Linked DNA regions of Nothobranchius furzeri. The main gene of each other region encodes a partner of the protein of the gene in region 2 in a complex. Links are inferred from orthologs where the notes say so. Each region holds a gene or a part of one and is shown on either strand. Other genes may lie near its edges.

Region 1 (4,264 bases), on a different chromosome or scaffold from region 2:
CATCCCTCCCCACGGTGTCATGAATGTTATCTACATTCAAATCACACAAGTTAGTCCTTTCTCCAGATGATAAAGAATCAGTTTGTGTTTCCCGGTTTTATCTGTGTGGTTTCAACAGACTAAACTGCCTTTTTTTCATTACAACTCCAGCAAAAACAAATATATACAAGTGCTGAAATGTAGGATCTCCTGGAGTAAAAAAACATCCTCAGCAACACCTGCAATGTAAAAATAAGTGTTAGTTGCATTTCGTTGCCCATTGTAATTACAGAACTGTCAATTTTAATCCACAGCCAACCTAAATACTGCAGTTTTCTTTGTTGCCAAGAGATAAAACAGTGGAGCTAAAAATAAATTCAGATTTCACAGCAAAGAGTTTGCTTATGTAACATCTGCAGAGTGGAATTAGCGGATGTCTATGCAAGAGAGGTCATGAATGAGTTAACGAGATGTGTTTTTTTTATAACGGATCTCAACTCACCCTGATTTTCAAATCAGCTGCACCGCTCCGTTTGACACCAGCGGCGCTACGGTGCGGTATCGCATCAAATGCTGCGAGCCCTCTTCCAGATCCACAATATATTCTCTGACAGAAGAGGTGTTATTTTTCAGTATTTATACCTTAAACATGTCACTAGGTGTACAACGACAACACTGCCACCTACTGGATACTGAATGAACAGCAACCATGAGGAGAACTACCTCTGATCGTCGGTTTCAGGCTCCACCAAAATATTTTCCTGTTTCTCCTTCACTCGCAGAAACACAAAGGAGTCCAAGCAAGGCTCGGGCACTGGAATTGGATCAATCACAGGATTTAGTGCATCAGCCCGTGTGTGTGTGTGTTGCAGTAAATGCCACAAATGGCAATTTCCAAGGAAGCAAATATAATGTTTACCTGCTTTGAGCAGATCTACAGTCTGTAAGTTGAGTGGCATTCGCTTCAGCGCTACAGCCTTTAGGTAGGTTTCTGTGTTGGTGTAATACCTGCACACAACATTAAAATTAGTTTTTATTATTAAAATCCTAAATCAAACAGTTGACGTCACTCTATGCTCACTCTTTAGCAAAAGCAAACTCCTCAGGAGAGAGCAGAGATGGCTGTCCTTCCACTCGAGACTTCTCCCTCTCCAGGACGTGAGGAAAGAACTTTTCAATCTGAACACAGACAGCGTGACAGATCAGTGCTTTTTTTAAAGGTAAAAGAGAAACCGCGTAGATCTTTACGTTACTTCGACTGACTTTTTGCAGACGAGAGCGCAGGTAGCTGCTGAGGACAAAGCGGATCCTGTCTATTTCCATTCGGTGGAAGCTGGCTTTGGCATCACCTTTCTTTACCCGTTGCAGGTTTGATTCCTGTTTGGGGAAATGCCACAAAAAATAAATAAAAATTTATTTTAAAAAAAACACTACAAATAACACAGATCTGGAATATTAAAGAGCCACAGTAATCTAATGTCAGGATTCCAGTAGATAAATATCCTGATAGAAGAGAAATAAAAGCAAAAATTTCACCTTGAGCTCTTAGAAGACACAATTTTACACACCCTGGGGTCAAAATTCACTTGTAAGTCGCTTTGGACAAAAGCGTCTGCTAAATACATAAACATAAACATAAATATAAAGGTCAACTCTGAAAATAATCTACTTGTATTAGTTTATTATGTAAAATGTAATCACTGCATTAGTAAAGCATCTCCTTTAAAGTCTAGAGTAAAGCAGAAACAGGAGCTAATGATCAAAACGCTTCGTTTTTTTTTTACCACAATAAGAGAACATAAAGTATTGTTCCCACGCCTGCTTCAACAAACACTTTGAGGTTGTTTCTAGTAATTAGTCAAACACAAATCTGTTTTTCACACAGGATAATCTGACATAATATTTGTTATCGGCAAGCATTTAAATCATCACTTCACTAATCTAATGAATAGTCAAAGCAGTTTAATGTAATTAAAGGCAGAATCAGCATCAATTATTTAAATATAAATCTTTATTTTGATGCTTGTCTTATTGATTAATTTGGTATAACTAATAGAAACTAATCTAAATAAATGTTAAATATGATGTTAGTTTAGTTTCGTGTGTTTATTTTCTCCGGTATGCTCTGCTGTCTACAGCGTTTCCACTAAACAGCCAGCACTTGTTGAACATGAAACTAGAGAGTGATTGTGTGTGTTACAGAGAATCTGAGAGGTATTCCCCAGGTAGTTACCATATGAGTCAGCTGCTCCATCACACACTCCACCACCTCGGACTTGTTCTCCAGCAGCTCTGGGGAGAACTTCTCGTTCAGCCAAGCCTGCGGGTCACAAACACACCTGTAAGGCACAGCTGGCACAACATTAAAGCCAGGAAACAGCAGACCCAAAGACCCACAGTTCGACTTAAAACGTGATAAATCAAATAAAAAGACTCACTTCTTCTAGTTTAGCTATCAGCTCCGCCGGAGTCATGACATCCTGGCTGTCATCTTGGTTGATGTCGCTGCCGTCATCCGACAACGCGTCCGACATGCTTTCACTTTATAAGGTACGCTAATTAAATACTGCTGTTTTAGAAACGATATTGTTTTGGCTTCAAATAACAAAATGGGAAACTTAAATAAAAGTAATAAAACGAGTTTAGCTACACAGTCGTCCCTGAAGCTTCTGCGGTGCAAAATGCTCTTGTTTATTCGCGCCACTGGCGTTCTCGCGAGAGTTGTATTTTGTTCAAAAACCCCGAATTTTGACTGTAAGGCCAAGTCTTTCCCGCAGCCACAAAGATCAATAAAATACAAAAAAATGTAAATAGAAAAAGGCAGTATTTTTGAGATAAGAGAATGTTTTCTTATTTACTCTAAAGTGATTACTCACGTAATATTAGTCAGGTCATTCTGACCTGTCCGAAATGCATAACGAAGGGTAAAAAAATAACAACGCAGGGTTCTCTGGATTTCCTGCAAATAAAATAAAATGTTTTTGAACAAGCTTTTATTATAATAAGGAATTATAATAACATAACAACATTAATAATAGTAACATCAACAACAGTTAATAATAATAATAATAATAATAATAATAATAATAATAATAATAATAATAATAATAATAATAATAATAATAATGTTATTTGTATGGTAATTGTGTTTCATTTTTGATGTTGACTAAATAACATGAAAATAAATATTAAGTGGTCATTCATTACCATAATGAATTAAAATATTTGTTATTTTAATAACATGAAATTGGTAAAAAGCCATTTAAAAAATATGTACCGAGGTTTGCATGTTTTATAAAGCAGTATGTCAGATTTCCCATTCATTTAACAATGTCCAATGTTTATATACAACATTTAGTCTAAAGACATATCTACTTGAATATTGTTTACTATCTGTAGTACCTCATATTCATAGAATGAATATTCAAAATTCTGTCCTCCTCCTACCAGGGCTCAAATATCTCAAAACTATGATTACTGAACTTCCACTAGGTCACCCACGGTCTCTCTCACACACACATGCACACACACACATACATTTTTCAACATACCATCTCTTAGTCAGTCTTGCCCTGCATTTGAAATAAGTTCCATCATCTGCTTGACTTGTTGCATCTGTTTCCAGATAACAGTGGCCTGAGGGCTAATCTCATTTGTATGATTTCCTCTTTCTATTTCCTCCTTATTGCTCTCAGAGCATTTGTTCTACTGATGATTTTGCATTTGCCATGCAAACCTGTTGTTATAGTAGGCCTACTGACAATGAGCACCACTGACCACAGCTGGCACCCATAACTCTGTTCTAAATGAAACCTGCAGGGTCAAAACTGTGCAGATGGAGGATTGTTTTACACTGAAAAGTTTTTATTGCACAGATTTTTGATTGCATTTGTCATTTTTATTTAAATACATTAAAAACAATAACATTTGCAATAACTGTTTCTAGAAACTGTAACACTGGTATTAGATACATAAAGCATTTGTCACTGCATACATTTTTACAGATTTTACCATACAGTACTCAATGGGGGGTAAAAAACAGAATAAAGACAAGTGCAATGGAAGATGAGTGATGTATAACTGATGTTTTGACAAAATGGGATAATGTGAAATAACACCACAGTATGAATATACATCCATCCATCTAAATGTTTGCAATAGTGTAACTGCAAGAGAAATTATGCATAGTTGTTTTTTAAATAATGCACCAACAACAATCCTCTTTAACCATCACTACACCACCTTTATTTATTTTTGAATATTCTCATCATATAGTGAGCAGTGC
Region 2 (2,342 bases):
GGGGGGGGGGGGGGGGGGTGTCTCTGCCTCTGGTTGTCAAAAGTGCTGTTTGTGCAGGTAGCAGTCATCCACCTACTGCAAAACCAGCACTTCAGGTAAACAAGCAGGCAATGTGCTGCACACCACCGTCCACAAGGGGGCACTCTCAGCAGCAGGGATGTCGCACGATCACAGCTGCTCTTCAGTTTAGTATTCATGTTCTGTTTGATACAAAGAAATGTACAAGTGGGATTGATTGTTTCTAATCCTGGTCAGCTTTGCAGGGTGGGCAGTCAGCCTGTGTGCATTAGGACCAGCTGTGCAAACCCATGCAAAACTGACTATGACGAGAACTGTCAACACAAGCTTCTACATGTAGAGTAGATTGAAAAGACTCATTCATCTCGTGTGGTTTAGTTTTTAACCTGTGGAGAGACTAGCTGGTTTTGAGAGGCGGAGACTTGAGCAATTGCCGGCCATTCCAGAGGGCATTGCACTTGTCTCGGTCTGACAGTGCCGGCACATCGCAGCCTACCTTCTTACATGACTCCAGTCGGATATTTGTGTGTGTTTATGTACAACTGCCATCATCACCACACTTTGTCCATGCCTGCCATCAGGCCCGGCTTCGCATGATGGACACTGTGGAGAAGGAGGATGTGAACGAGGCTATGCGGCTGATGGAGATGTCGAAGGACTCGCTGCAGGCTGACAAATCCAGCACCACCAGGTTAGTGTGTGTGTGTGTGTGTGTGTGTGTGGGGGGGGGGTCATCTAGGCACCCTGAGCCTAACACGAGGGAACCGGATGTTAAACCCAGAATTCCCTTTTATGGGTTTCTTGTGTTTGCTGAATATGCAGTAGCTGCTCTGCAGGAAGCTGTAAAACATGACTGGTGTTTTATAGAGCTTGGTTCACACGGCAGCATGTTCACTTTGGTCATTAGTTGGTGCTTCAAGCAGCAGGCCTTCCATGCACAAAACTCTTCTGTTTTTTTTTATTTGGAAAACAAACTTTTCTTGGCAGTTTGGTTCCTAATGCCTCTAATCAGCGTCTGATTGGTTTGTCCTGATTCTGACCTCCTCCCTTGCAGGGCGCAGCGTCCAGCTGATGTCATCTTCTCTCTGGTGCGGGAGCTCGCCACTGAGGGCACGATCGGCCGTGGCGGGGCAGGCGGTGTGGTTCGCATGTCTGAAGCTGAGCAGCGTTGCATCTCTCGTGGCTTCACGCCCGCTCAGTTCCAGGAGGCTCTGGAGGAGTATGAGGAGTTAAATGTGTGGCAGATCAACCAGGCCCGCAGCCGCATCACCTTCGTATGAACACACCTGGACACGCTTCGCCCCAGCCATCGACTAGAGCTCTCTTTATTTCTGCATCATGTCTTTTGTAACCCAAGTTGGGCAGAACGCAGACTTCCTCTCAATACCTGGACATGATGAAAAATCCTGTTCCTGACTGGTTTCCTGTTAATTAATGGATTTCTTGTAAATATTTGTCAGAGCACATCATTGTGTAACCCTCCCACTGTCCTAATGGGTGTGAGGTCCACGTGGCAGGGGTGAGGACTGAGCACCACCTCACCCCTGCCACATGGACCCAAGGGATAAACCATCAACCCTGCTTAATGGTCAACTTTCTTCGCGGGGTCACACCCATTAGGACAGTGGGAAGGTTAATCTGCAGTTCAGTGGGGTAAAGCATCAGTTTATCAGTGAGAGTTCTTGTACATTGTGTTTGTAATGAGATGTTGATGTTGAACCTTGTATTAGTTATAATAAATGCTTCAGTAATAAACATCACTGTCAGTTTGGCTCCTGGTGTCATGAGAAGTTGTAATAAAAATGAACTTGTCATCTGTTGTATAATTGCTTTATATAAGTTATTGATCACTACTGTTTGTCAATCACACTTATCATGAGGATGTAATCAAGGGTAATCATGGTGGAGGTGTGCAGCTTTGCACGCACATCAGGGAATGTATAAGGAGCAGAGCAGAGCTCAGGGGGTTAGAGCTGCTTGAAGGATTCTACCTGACGAGGTTCATGGATTACATGTGTTCAGTTCTTCACCTATCATGGATTACGTTTTCTAACTGGGGTGTTCAGCTCTCCACCCATAAGCAACGGTAAGAGAAATGTTTCGTTCATGATTGATAACTTGTATGAATGCCGGTTAAATAAAGCCTTGTTGTTCATCTGATATTCAAGTTGTGTTTCATTGTTTCTGGCGTCGACTTGACAACGATCCTGATTAAATAAATATAAAGTGTAAAAAGAGACTTTGAGTCTTTTAAGGTAATTAAAATAAAATAAAACATTTTATTTTAGGACAGAAGTGTCTGAACATCTGGTTTGGTGGTGCTG
Region 3 (4,170 bases), on a different chromosome or scaffold from region 2:
CCCACCCTCAGCTCCACCTCTCTTGCCTTTTGTGGAATTGTCTGGGCTTGACGGTACCTGTGACACGGTCAAAATGGCGGTGGTGGCCACCTCCCATTTTGGCACAAAAATGTGTTATTGGAGCCTATGGAAATGAATTGTCCAGTATATATGTTGATGGTCGGTACTGTTGGCCCAAAAAGAATGTCCGCCAACCACTGTACGCCTGATAGAGAGCCCAGCAGTGGCACTGATGCACAATTAATAGTTATTAATGAAATATCTCACTAAAGAGCCTCCAGTTCAGATGCTAACGCTAGCATGAATGTACAAAGATGAAAAACGAAAACGTTATCCTACATGACAAATCTAAAATTCCAGTCATTAAAAATAAATATTTAACTTTCCACCATAATTTAAAAATGTTTTTTTATTAAAACTATCATAGCTGGAGTGTTAAAAAATAAAAGTGCCATAAGATATTTGGAAGTTGTTATTTTATTTCTATTACCCAACAGTAATCCAATTCATGTTTGTTCTGTTTTTGTTTTTGTTTTTTCCTCTAGGAATCATTGAGGCGTGACATCCTTCAGAGGTTTTACGATCGACTGTCAAGCATCTTGGAGAGGCAACCTGTTGATGGGGAAGGGCTACAGTTTGCTTGTCACCATTATTTAGTTTTATTAGGTGCTCTAGGTGACATTGTTGATGTGGGAGGGAGAGGATATACTTTCTGCTCTTTCCGATCTGAATACTATTATCCAGAAGGAAAGAGATAATCAAAAGACATTAATAAAAGTACACGTTGAAAGAGGTTCTCGTGGCCGTCAACGATTGGCGGTGTCGCGAGAGGCTCTCAAACACCTTGTGGAAATGGGTCTGCCAACAAGTGTCATTACCAAACTCCTTGGTGTATCCAGAGCAACTCTATTTAGACGGATGTCTGAAAATAATATATTTATTTATATATTTGTATCTGCCACATACAGTAAATGCAGTGATGAGGAACTACATCATTTTATCACAGTAATTAAGAGCAACATGCCAGATGCTGGGTACAGGGTAGTCCGAGGTGCTCTACTTGCCCAGGGACATAGAGTACAGTGGGACCGACTGTATGCATCCATGCATCGTGTGGACAGTGCGGTTGTACTTGCTCGAATGACACATCTGGGATGTGTAGTGAGAAGGACGTACACACAGTTCCTTGCCCAAAGTATATGGTGCACATTGACACCAATCACAAGCTTATCAGGTAATGTCTGTGTGTAATTGGAGATGTTATTTTTTGTTTTGGGAGTTACATTTTTAATTGTCTGTGTTTTAACGTTCTGTTCCATGGTGAAACACAGAGCTGTGAGGAGGGTGACTCACCTCGGACCATGGCAGCAGGGCAAGACCAGAATCTACTTTTAGCTTTGGTTGGCTGCACTGACCGCCCTCCTACCCAGCAGGCAGCGCTGGCGCACCAGAACGATGTTACCATCTGCCAGTAAACACACGAAGAAGAAGAAAACAATGACACCAAAGAAGAAGCTGCGCGCGAAATTTGGAGCGGCCAGACTGCAGTGTAAACAAACACAGTGTTCAGCCTTATTTCTCTCTTAGCTCAGCTAGCTGTAGCGCTTCCGCATGGCCCAGGAGACAGGGTACTCACCGAGCTTCAAGCGGCCGGCAGAAATCATTCGTCTGAGGAGAAAAAGAGCTCGAAGCACGGTTTTATCGAGCAGTGAGGTGGTTTTGAGTTCCGGACCGAGCAGTTCGTTATGCGGTCGAATCTCCTCCCCAGAACCGCTCCTCAATGAGCAGAGCTGTTCTAGAAACGACGTTAAACGGAGAAACCCGTTTGCTAACCGTGAAAACACCTCCGTCCCCGTGGTCTGCGACGAAGATGGCGGATATGTCCAGACTCGGAAGAAAGTAAAGCAGGAGAAGGAGGCGGAAGAGAAGACGTCGGCAGCGGTCAGCGGCTGCTCCACTCAGGTAGGAGGAGGCGACGACCCTCCTGGTAGACCTGGACAAGTCACACCTGGATTCATGTCAGGTTCTACAGACAGCTGGTGTTAACGACGTATTATTATTATTGGGGTATTTAGGTTAGTGATGCAGACAGGTGATCCAGCCCAGGTTGCTGTCACATGTGGTCCAAAACCTGAGTATGAGCTCCACAGATCTGCTCTGAAGGAGGTGGGAGGACAACTACATCCATCCAGCATCCTCATTTACTTCCATAAACTCGGATTTGCTGGTGTCCAACTCTAGCAGTCATTGAGCAAGAGATGGGAGACACCTGGACATGTCTCCAGTTCATGATGGAGACACAGCCAGTCACAAACTCACCAGGGACAATTCAGTTTGATGTGTGTGGGATTAAACCAGAGCACGCTAACACCACTCAGTAAAGCTACAGTCAGGATTTGAACCTGCAACCATCCCGATGTGCAGCAGCAGTGCTGCACCACAGTGCAGCCACGTTTAAACCGTAAACGGATAAAACATGTAGCAGTGGGAGAAAATAGCTTCTCGATGAACCAATGAATGAAATGCTGTAGTTCGATCACCGGGACAGCTCCTCATCAGAACCCAACCCTGAGCTGCTGAATCCCCATCAAACCAACAAAAGCAGGATGATCAGCTGTTTTTATTCAGTGTTTGTTTTTCTGCTGCAGAAATGTCTCTCTGAGGACGACTCTCTGTCTGGACCAGAGGACGAACAAGTTCTGAGTCCACTGCTCAAGGTAGGTTTATAATAAATGTGGTGCGTGGGCGACGGTGGCACAGGAGTTAAGAGCTCGCCCCGTAATCGGAAGGTTGCGGGTTCGTGCCCCGCTCAGTCTGTCGCTGTCATCGTGTCCTTGGGCAAGACACTTAACCCACGTTTCCTGCTGGTGGTGGTCGGAGGGACCGGTGGCGCCAGTGCTCGGCAGACTCGCCTCTGTCAGTGCGCCCCAGGGCAGCTGTGGCTACATTGTAGCTCATCCCCACCAGTGTGTGAATGTGTGTGTGAATGGGTGAATGACTGATTGTGTTGTAAAGCGCCTTGGGGGGTTCCAGAACTCTAGAAGGTGCTATATCAAATACAGGCCATTTATTTGACCATAAACAAATGCAAAGTAGAGATGAACCATTAAACACTTTAGACACGCAGACTACATAGTGGGAATGTGTTGATATTACATAACGTTTTTATTCTCCCTTCACCTTCCTGATGAAAGTAGTCCCTTCCTGTTTCCCCACCCAACATGGCCGACGTAAACCCCGTTGAGCCACCAGTCAGAAACGGGTCCATGAAAAAGACCCAGATGAGGTGAGGCTCATCCCTGATTAATGTGTCCTTCCTGTGTGTTCTCCAGAGCCCCCGCACCATCGCCTCCTCCTCCATTGCTCCTCCCAGCTGCACTCGGTACCCGACAGACTGGAGCTTGAAGACCCGGCTGCTCTTCACCTCCCCCCACTCCCTCTCATGGGCCGAGCAGCCCAAAGCCCAGGAAGAAGCTTTAGGCCTGAGCCGCAGCTGCAGAGCCCAGTTTAGCTCTCTGCCACAACACGCACAGGTAGGTTCTGTCAGCCACTCACACACACACACGTCTCTTGACTAACGCAGCACCCCATCTGCCAGTGGCAGGATCCCCAGTTCTGCTCAGAGCTCCGCTGTGCCTTCCAGCAGTGTTTGGTGTACTGGCAGCACCCCTCCCTGCCCTGGCTCTCTCTCTTCCCCCGGATCAACGCGGAGAGGAACTTCTCGGGGAGGAGCTCGCCCTGGGCTCACGATGCAGCTCTGCAGCAGAGCCTGATGAGGGACTGGTGAGCATCTGTTCCTCAGCAGGAAGGAGATTACAACTTTGATCATGAGGATTTTCTGTTCTTCTCATTTCAGGTCCATCAGCCTGTCGTCTCTCTACAGCCTTTTAAAGTCTGGACTGTGTCCATACTTCTATGTCTGCTCCTATCAGGTGTGTTTGTGTCCACTGAGAGCTCTCCTCAGTAAGCCACCTGTCTCTAATGTCCTCTGCTGTCCGATAGCTAACGGTTCTGTTCAGGGCGGCGGGTCTCAGCGGGTCGGGCTGCATCACTGCTCTGGTCTCTCCGACGACTCGTGGCCTCAGAGAAGCTATGAAGTCTGAAGGTAAAGTTTCTGGTTAACACAGGGTATCCGCGGGTCCTTAAAAAGTCTTAAATTTACTTTTCCAA
Region 4 (3,702 bases), on a different chromosome or scaffold from region 2:
GTTCCTCCCAATCACACCCCTCCAGGTCAAGCTGTCATTGCCCACGTGAGCATTGAAGTCCCCCAGCAGGACAATGGAGTCCCCTGATGGAGCACTATCTAGCACTCGTCCCAGGGACTCCAAAAAGGGTGGGTACTCTGAACTGATATTTGGCCCATAAGCACAAACAACAGTCAGGACCCGTTCTCCGACCCGAAGGCGCAAGGAAGCTACCCTCTTGTCCCCCGGGGTAAACCCCAACACACAGGCAGAGAGTCTCTGGGCTAACAAAAAGCCAACCCCAGCCCTCCGCCTCTCACCCGGAGCAACTCCAGCAAAGTAGAGTGTCCAACCCCTCTCCAGGTCTCGGGTCCCAGAGCCAATGCAATGTGTCGAGGTGAGTTCGACTATATCTAGCCGGTACCACTCAACCTCTGCCACAAGCTCCGGCTCCTTCCCCGCCAGCGAGGTGACGTTCCATGTCCCAAAAACTAGTTTTCTTGTCCGGGGATTGGACCGCCAAGGCTCCCGCCTTGGTCTGCCACCCGATTCGCATTGCACCGGACCCTTCATGTTCCTCCTGCGGGTGGTGGGTCCACAGTTGGACGAGCCCATGTATCCGGTTCGGGCTGGGCCCGGCCGGGCCCCATGGGCGAAAGCCCGGCCACCAGGCGCTCGCTCACGGGCCCCAACCCCAGGCCTGGCTCCAGGGTGGGACCCCGGTAACCCTCCGGGCCGGGTACTCCGACTCTTCGTTTTAACCGCCATGAAAGATCCTTCGAACCGTTCTTTGTCTCACCCTTCACCTAAGACCAATTTGTCATGGGAGACCCTACCAGGGGCACTAAGTGCCCCAGACAACATAGCTCCTAGGATCATTAGGGCACTCAAACTCCTCCACCACGATAAGGTGACGGTTCAAGGAGGAGAAAATCTAACTAATTACTGTAGCTTACAATTAAATGTGTTAATGAAAGATTAAATGCTTTGTGGAGTGAAATAACAGGAATTTCTCGGCCAAACCCATCTTATTTCATAGACACATCTTTGGCGTTTATAACAAATTAAGCCTTTTGAAAATCGGTTGAAAATTGAGCAAGTTAGAGTTGCTTGAGAAAGGGGGGCAGCGGTCTGAGGTAAGATGGCCGCCACGTTCCTACGTCGCATCCCATTGACGAACAGTGGGGACGAGGCATCTAGTGTTTATACATACATATCTATGCCGGAGCCGATCTGGTACCGACAACGGATCTACGTCACCGGGTCACGTGATCAACAAAGCTTTTCCCGCCAACACCGTTCGGTCTTCACGGAGGAGAAACGGATAAGTTTTCTGATCGAGAGTTCGGGATGTTCTGCGAGAAGGCCATGGAGATGATCCGGGAGCTGCACCGGATGAGCGACGGACAGCTGCCCGCTTTCAACGTGAGGAACGCGGGTAACGGTCGCAGCAGCTGACTCCGTGTACAGCCAAGCTGGTTTAAGGTTGTTCAGATGTTGCCAACAGAAGCAGAAGTCTTAAGAACCAGTAGACCAAAGGATAGCTTAAACGGAACACCGGCTACAGTTCGGCTCTGATTTAACCCGGTAGCATGCTGTTCTACTGTTCCTTAAACCAGAACCCACATGCTGGCTCTGTTTCAGGAGGACGGGCTGCGCCAGGTTCTACAGGAGATGGAGGCTCTGTACGAACAGAACCAAGCTGACGTGTGAGTTCAGGCTGCTTCTGGTTCTAGGGTTCGGTGGACCGACATCTGAACGCTACTAAACTGTAAAAGATCAAAAAGATGCGGCTTCAACCACAGAGTTCGGGTTCTGGTTTTGTTTATCTACAGAAACCCTCCTCATATACTGAGGCCTCTCCTGTTTGACCTGACCTCTGACCCCACATCACCTGTAGAGAAAAGGTCAAACTGGTTCAAGAGCCTTTTCATGCATGAAGGATGAGGGGTCCAGAGGTCAGATACTGGTTCTGGACTGGCCTGAGTCCAGATGACCCGTATGTGACCTTACAGTAAGTCAGCTGATCTTCTGTTTCAGGAACGAGGCCAAGTCCTTCGGGCGCTCAGACCTCATCCCCTCCATCAAACTGCGTCACTGCTGCCTGCTGAGGAACCAGCGCTGCATCACTGCCTACCTGTAACTCCGCCCACAGTCATGTGACCAGCCTCACCTGCAGTCACTACGGTTTTTTTTACCGTTTGTTGTTTACAGGTACGACCGCCTGCTGAGGATCAGAGCGCTGAGATGGGAGTACGGCAGCGTTCTACCCGCCAACGTTCGCTTCCACATGTCTGCAGAGGAGGTCGGTGTGACATCACCTCCTGTTTTAGACTTCCTGTTGCTGCTTCACATAGAAAGCAAACTTTTCAATTCCTTGAAACTTTTATTTTGAAAGTGTCAGTGTTGTATTAGAACAGCTCAGTGTGTGTGTGTGTGTTGCTTTCAGGTGCAGTGGTTTGGTCAGTATAAAAAGTCTCTTGCTTCCTTCATGCGTTCCCTTGGTGAGGGGGAGGGGCTTGACATCACACAGGACATCAAGCCTCCAAAGAGTCTCTACATCCAGGTGAGTCACACCTGCCTGACCTCTGACCTACGGTCTGTCCTCATCATGCTGATGTCATGTTTGTTTCCAGGTGAGGTGTCTTAAGGACCATGGAGAGTTTGAGATCGAGGATGGAACGGTGATCTTGCTGAAGAAGAACAGCCAGGTCAGAATAGGATGCAGTTTGGATGAACACTCACTCACACACACACACACACACACGATTGGGCCGACAGCATGACATCAGAACCAGACCGTCCTCACAGCCTCAACAGGAAGCTCAGGATCAGGTGTATTGATTACCTGATCACCAGCAGCAGGAGCTCTCTGGAGCATACAGGTGTGTGTTGACATGTAGAGGAAGCAGCTGTGGATCTGGGATGGACCCACACTCACATTATTCCCAGGAGATGAATCCTGTGGCCCGTGTGTGTGTGTGCGTGTGTGCATGTGACGTGAAGCCTTAGAACGCAGCAGCTCACAGGAAGTTGTGTTTGTGTTCTCAGCACTTCCTGCCTCGGTGGAAATGTGAGCAGCTGATTCGCCAGGGCGTCTTGGAGCACGTGGTGTCGTGACGAGAGAAGATTGTGTGTGTGTGTGTGTGTGTGTGTGTGTGTGTGTGTGTGTGTGTGTGTGGTCACAACAAATAAAAGTGTTGTACCCATTCTGTGGCCTCTGTTGTGTCTCTGTGGTCCTGGAAGTGAAGAAACTCACGTGTCAGGTGCCATAGAAAGATGACAAGCAGCTGATAAAAACATAATGAGTCACACTTTGGTCCACAGGTGAGCTTTGGTGTGTTGCACCTGAACAGGTGAGAAATAGAGCAGCAAACACACTGATGCTGCCTGCTGTAACGTCCAGAAATGGTCAGTTTTCACCTACATATTGACCGACACAATGTCCGGTCACCTACAGACCTAATTCCACTATCTGAGTGGAGTTTCTATCCTGCCTTCTAAAGCCCAGAAGATTCTGAAGCCCTTGTTGACATTCAGGGGGAACAAGATGCCAGCCTATGTTCCCAAACAAAGCCTTCTTTTGATAAGACCACAGGATTGCTCACTCTCATGAAATAACTTTTACAACTCGTAAGTTAAAAAATAATATGGTTGAATGAACAAATGTTATATGTATAATAATGTTGATGTTTGAATAATCGGTGCCTAATTCAATGACAC
Region 5 (3,516 bases), on a different chromosome or scaffold from region 2:
TCTTCTTCTTCTTCTAAAACTGTCAGTGTTGTGCCGTCGTCAGGTAAAAACTCTGCACTATATTTGAATTTAAATCTGCCACCGCTATTGGCTAACAGGTAGGCTATGATGTAAACTGGTACATTATGATGTCACAATGCTGTCGTGAGCCTGTGTGTGTGTGTATTTGTTAGCGGCTCCGCCCTCTCAGTCTGCCAGGCAACAGCATTTGTTGCATTTTTCAAACAGGAAGCGGGAGTGGAGTTAGACTCTGGTAGGGGGTGACTTGCTCTTTAAACACAACTTATCAAATAAAGCAATTCAAAATTACTCAAACATCAACAATTATTACTTCTGTGCACCTGTAAATGCTACAAAATGTATTGAAAACAAGAAAAATAATACTTTAAATAAACATGTTAAATAAACTTTCTAGGTCATTCACAAAGTCACAGTGCCACCTTGTGGTGAAACCTTGAACAAAAAAGTTGCTTAAACTACCTTTACAGCTCGTATGATGAGTTAAAGGGAAAAAAAGAAGACAAAAATAGAAATAATACAGGAGGAAAGTGTAGGGTAAGTAAAATTCACAAAACAAGACACGATAAAATAACTACGTATGTTGTTGTGTATAAAGCGACTGGTGCATGGGTTGATTCAGGGTGGTGATTTTATTTATACATCTTGTGTGATGTATAAAGTCTGTCTTGGATCAAATGGACCTGTCGCGTGTGCCAGAGGGCAGGAGGTGGAACAGGTGGTGTGAGTCTTGTCCCTCTCAGGCCTGGTTTCTCTGTGTTCAACTAAAACCAAATTAAATACTAATCGACGTAATTTCCAGTTGCACGACTCCGCTTTGAACATTTTCAAAGCTTTCATGTTTGTGTTTTTATTAGGCGCTGTTTCATTGCGACCACATTCAGTACACCCTGGTGCCGGTGATCGGCTGGCAGGATCTCTCCACCGCCTTCCTTGAACACAAAGAGCAGGTCAATAACAACACACTTGAGTCTACTCGTGGATATGTACAACAGAAGGCTGATTAGGACAAAAACTGTGAAATAAATGTTTTGATTGTTTTGTAGTTTCGATACTTTGTTCTCATCAACTGCGGGGCGAATGTTGACCTCCTTGAGATGCTGCAGCCAGATGATGACTCCATCTTCTTCATCTGTGATACTCACCGTCCCGTGGACGTGGTTAATGTCTATAACGACACTCAGGTGATGTAGGATGATCAGGTTTTAGAGGACTAACCGCAAACTTTAATCCCCTCATATTGAACTTACTCCCTACTTAACCGTCATTCGTCCCCTCCACAGATTAAACTGCTAATCAAACAGGACGACGATCTGGGCGTGCCGTCGTACGACGACATCTTTCGAGACGACGAGGAGGAAGATGACGGCTCTGGAAACGACAGCGACGAAGGCTCAGAGCCGTCCGGAAAGCGGAGGAGGTTTGATGAAGTGAGGAGCATTAGCAGACGCTGCAGAAAGGATGCCAGAATTCAATTCAAAAATACTTTATTAATCCCAGAGGGAAATTGATTGAAGAAGAAGACAGCGAGGCTGACTTAGGCCTAGTCCACACGTAGCCGGTTTTTTTTTTAAAAACGAATATCTGCCCCTCCAAAAACTTGCATCCACACCACCTCGTTTAAAAAAAAACTGTCCACACGTACCCGGATAAATACGTTGTTAAGGACATGCCAGACCTGTAGGCGGCAGTACTTCCCCCGTTCTTAACCTCGTCCTTCGTCTGTGGTCTTCCGTAAGGAGCAGTAATTCTGCTTGCAAAAACAAACAAGCAGAAAGCGCTTGGACAATTGATAAAGCGAGCGCAGCTCTGAAGGCATCCATGCTGTCGGCTGGTGTAAACACAGGTCGCACACGTGATGTCAGCATTTTTGGTCGCGGAAAGTGACGTTGCGGACCTTAAAACTCCGGTTTTGTCCGTCCACACGCAGACACCCAAAACGGAGAAAACGCAGATCTTCACTTTGGCCGGAGTTTTTAAAAAGATCCGTTTTCGTGTGAAAAAACTCCGTTTTCTTGTGGATGACAGGCCAAAACGTAGAAAAATATCTACGTTTTGGCAGATCCCCGGCTACGTGTGGACAGGACCTAAGGCTTGTGGACATAGGACATATTGTGCTGAATTCACCTTTTGGAGCACTTTGTGCTGCCCTGTGGCTCTCTACTGCCTCTAAAAACACTCCACAGGTGAAAAAACATCTGTCCATTTTTTTTTCTGTAAGTATTTGGATTTAGGAATTATTTGCCTTAAGCAAGAAGTTTCAGAAAGTCCCCGTTTGTGACATCATAAACAGGGAAAACCCTGCATCACCTCTCTAGGCTAGAAGAGCAGCGACTCTAGGCCAAGCCCCTCCCAGCCAATCAGTGGATGGGTGGGCCTGGTCAGATCCCCGGCTACGTGTGGACAGGGCCTAATGCTTGTGTCGGGATTGTGTCGTGGCAGGGGGCGATTGAGAGGAGAATTGAAAGGCAGAGAGCGAGGAGGGAGTGGGAGGCACGGAGGTGAGATTTTGTCTGTTTTTATTGAACAGTGAGATATCTGTGATGTGTGTCTAACCTTTTGAAGTTTCTCAGGAGGGAAATCTTGTTCGACTATGAACAGTTCGAGTTCCACGGGACCTCTGTGAGTACACAACTCAGATCCTGAGCTTCAGCTGATATAAACTATACACAAACCCATCATCTGCCTTTGACTCTCAGGCTGCGATGATGTTTTTCGAGCTCGCCTGGGTTCTAACGAAAGACACCAAGGACATGCTCTGGTGAGCTTTCAAATTAAACATTTCTATAAACGACTTCCAGATCACAGAAATGCACGCGGCACCGTTCCGTTAAAATCCGTGTTTGCGTCTACAGGTGGGCCATCATCGGGCTGACGGACCAGCAGATTCACGACAAGATCACACAGTGAGGATTCGCTTTCTAAAGGTTTTCTGTAAATGTTTGCAACAAATGGCTCGTGGTTAGAGTTTTATTTCCTTTTCAGCATGAAATACGTAACAGATGTCGCAACGATGCAGCGGCATGTTTCCCGACATAACCACCGAAATGAGGACGAGGAGAACTCTTTATCCATCGACTGCATGAGGATCTCCTTTGAATACGAGTATCCTTTCTTTATCTTCTAACAGATCTTTGGGTTTTTTTCCGTTCTGTTTTTCTTAACCCCGTGATCCAGCCTGCGTCTCAGCCTCTACCAGCACTGGTCTCTGTATGAGAGCATCTGTAATTCTTGCTACACCTCCAGTAGCTTTAAGCTTTGGACTTTAAACGGCCAGAAGAAACTGCGAGAGTTCTTGGCTGATATGGGGTACGCATTTTCAAACCGGTGCTTCGTGTGTCAGCAGTAGAGAGACGGCAGCATCTGATGCTTCATTTCTTTTTGTGTTGTTGTTTACAGGTTACCTCTGAAACAAGTGAAACAAAAATATACATCCATGGACATGTCGATAAAGGAGAACCTAAGAGACGTCATTGAAGAGTCCTCTAATAAATTTGG

Evidence for each region.
Region 1: mcm7 (region 2) and gins4 share a complex: the UniProt entries of both Homo sapiens proteins name them as parts of the CMG helicase complex. The link is inferred for Nothobranchius furzeri from reciprocal best matches to the Homo sapiens genes MCM7 and GINS4.
Region 3: mcm7 (region 2) and protein downstream neighbor of son homolog share a complex: the UniProt entries of both Homo sapiens proteins name them as parts of the replisome complex. The link is inferred for Nothobranchius furzeri from reciprocal best matches to the Homo sapiens genes MCM7 and DONSON.
Region 4: mcm7 (region 2) and gins1 share a complex: the UniProt entries of both Homo sapiens proteins name them as parts of the CMG helicase complex. The link is inferred for Nothobranchius furzeri from reciprocal best matches to the Homo sapiens genes MCM7 and GINS1.
Region 5: mcm7 (region 2) and cdc45 share a complex: the UniProt entries of both Homo sapiens proteins name them as parts of the CMG helicase complex. The link is inferred for Nothobranchius furzeri from reciprocal best matches to the Homo sapiens genes MCM7 and CDC45.

Annotation. Positions count from the first base shown.
Region 1 is NC_091757.1:38,273,266-38,277,529, reverse strand, and holds the start of gins4 (DNA replication complex GINS protein SLD5), read right to left. Parts: upstream 2,805-4,264; 5' UTR 2,514-2,804; coding exon 2,418-2,513; intron 2,300-2,417; coding exon 2,213-2,299; intron 1,357-2,212; coding exon 1,243-1,356; intron 1,159-1,242; coding exon 1,061-1,158; intron 988-1,060; coding exon 899-987; intron 794-898; coding exon 703-793; intron 587-702; coding exon 490-586; 3' UTR 482-489; intron 219-481; 3' UTR 1-218. UniProt on the Homo sapiens protein: Required for correct functioning of the GINS complex, a complex that plays an essential role in the initiation of DNA replication, and progression of DNA replication forks.
Region 2 is NC_091741.1:79,979,114-79,981,455, forward strand, and holds the end of mcm7 (DNA replication licensing factor MCM7), read left to right. Parts: intron 1-599; coding exon 600-709; intron 710-1,072; coding exon 1,073-1,298; 3' UTR 1,299-1,832; downstream 1,833-2,342. Other genes in the region: and3 (actinodin3), read left to right, coding at 2,022-2,104. UniProt on the Homo sapiens protein: Acts as a component of the MCM2-7 complex (MCM complex) which is the replicative helicase essential for 'once per cell cycle' DNA replication initiation and elongation in eukaryotic cells.
Region 3 is NC_091743.1:80,893,320-80,897,489, reverse strand, and holds the start of protein downstream neighbor of son homolog, read left to right. Parts: upstream 1-1,357; 5' UTR 1,358-1,611; coding exon 1,612-1,962; intron 1,963-2,648; coding exon 2,649-2,717; intron 2,718-3,332; coding exon 3,333-3,533; intron 3,534-3,598; coding exon 3,599-3,783; intron 3,784-3,856; coding exon 3,857-3,932; intron 3,933-4,002; coding exon 4,003-4,105; intron 4,106-4,170. UniProt on the Homo sapiens protein: Replisome component that maintains genome stability by protecting stalled or damaged replication forks.
Region 4 is NC_091752.1:47,394,751-47,398,452, forward strand, and holds gins1 (DNA replication complex GINS protein PSF1), read left to right. Parts: upstream 1-1,220; 5' UTR 1,221-1,329; coding exon 1,330-1,404; exon of another isoform or gene 1,405-1,417; intron 1,418-1,623; coding exon 1,624-1,688; intron 1,689-2,019; coding exon 2,020-2,118; intron 2,119-2,193; coding exon 2,194-2,284; intron 2,285-2,428; coding exon 2,429-2,545; intron 2,546-2,615; coding exon 2,616-2,690; intron 2,691-3,030; coding exon 3,031-3,099; 3' UTR 3,100-3,189; downstream 3,190-3,702. UniProt on the Homo sapiens protein: Required for correct functioning of the GINS complex, a complex that plays an essential role in the initiation of DNA replication, and progression of DNA replication forks.
Region 5 is NC_091757.1:55,442,732-55,446,247, forward strand, and holds part of cdc45 (cell division control protein 45 homolog), read left to right. Parts: intron 1-875; coding exon 876-968; intron 969-1,064; coding exon 1,065-1,202; intron 1,203-1,301; coding exon 1,302-1,448; intron 1,449-2,460; coding exon 2,461-2,519; intron 2,520-2,591; coding exon 2,592-2,640; intron 2,641-2,717; coding exon 2,718-2,779; intron 2,780-2,873; coding exon 2,874-2,924; intron 2,925-3,003; coding exon 3,004-3,123; intron 3,124-3,195; coding exon 3,196-3,327; intron 3,328-3,417; coding exon 3,418-3,516. UniProt on the Homo sapiens protein: Required for initiation of chromosomal DNA replication. Core component of CDC45-MCM-GINS (CMG) helicase, the molecular machine that unwinds template DNA during replication, and around which the replisome is built.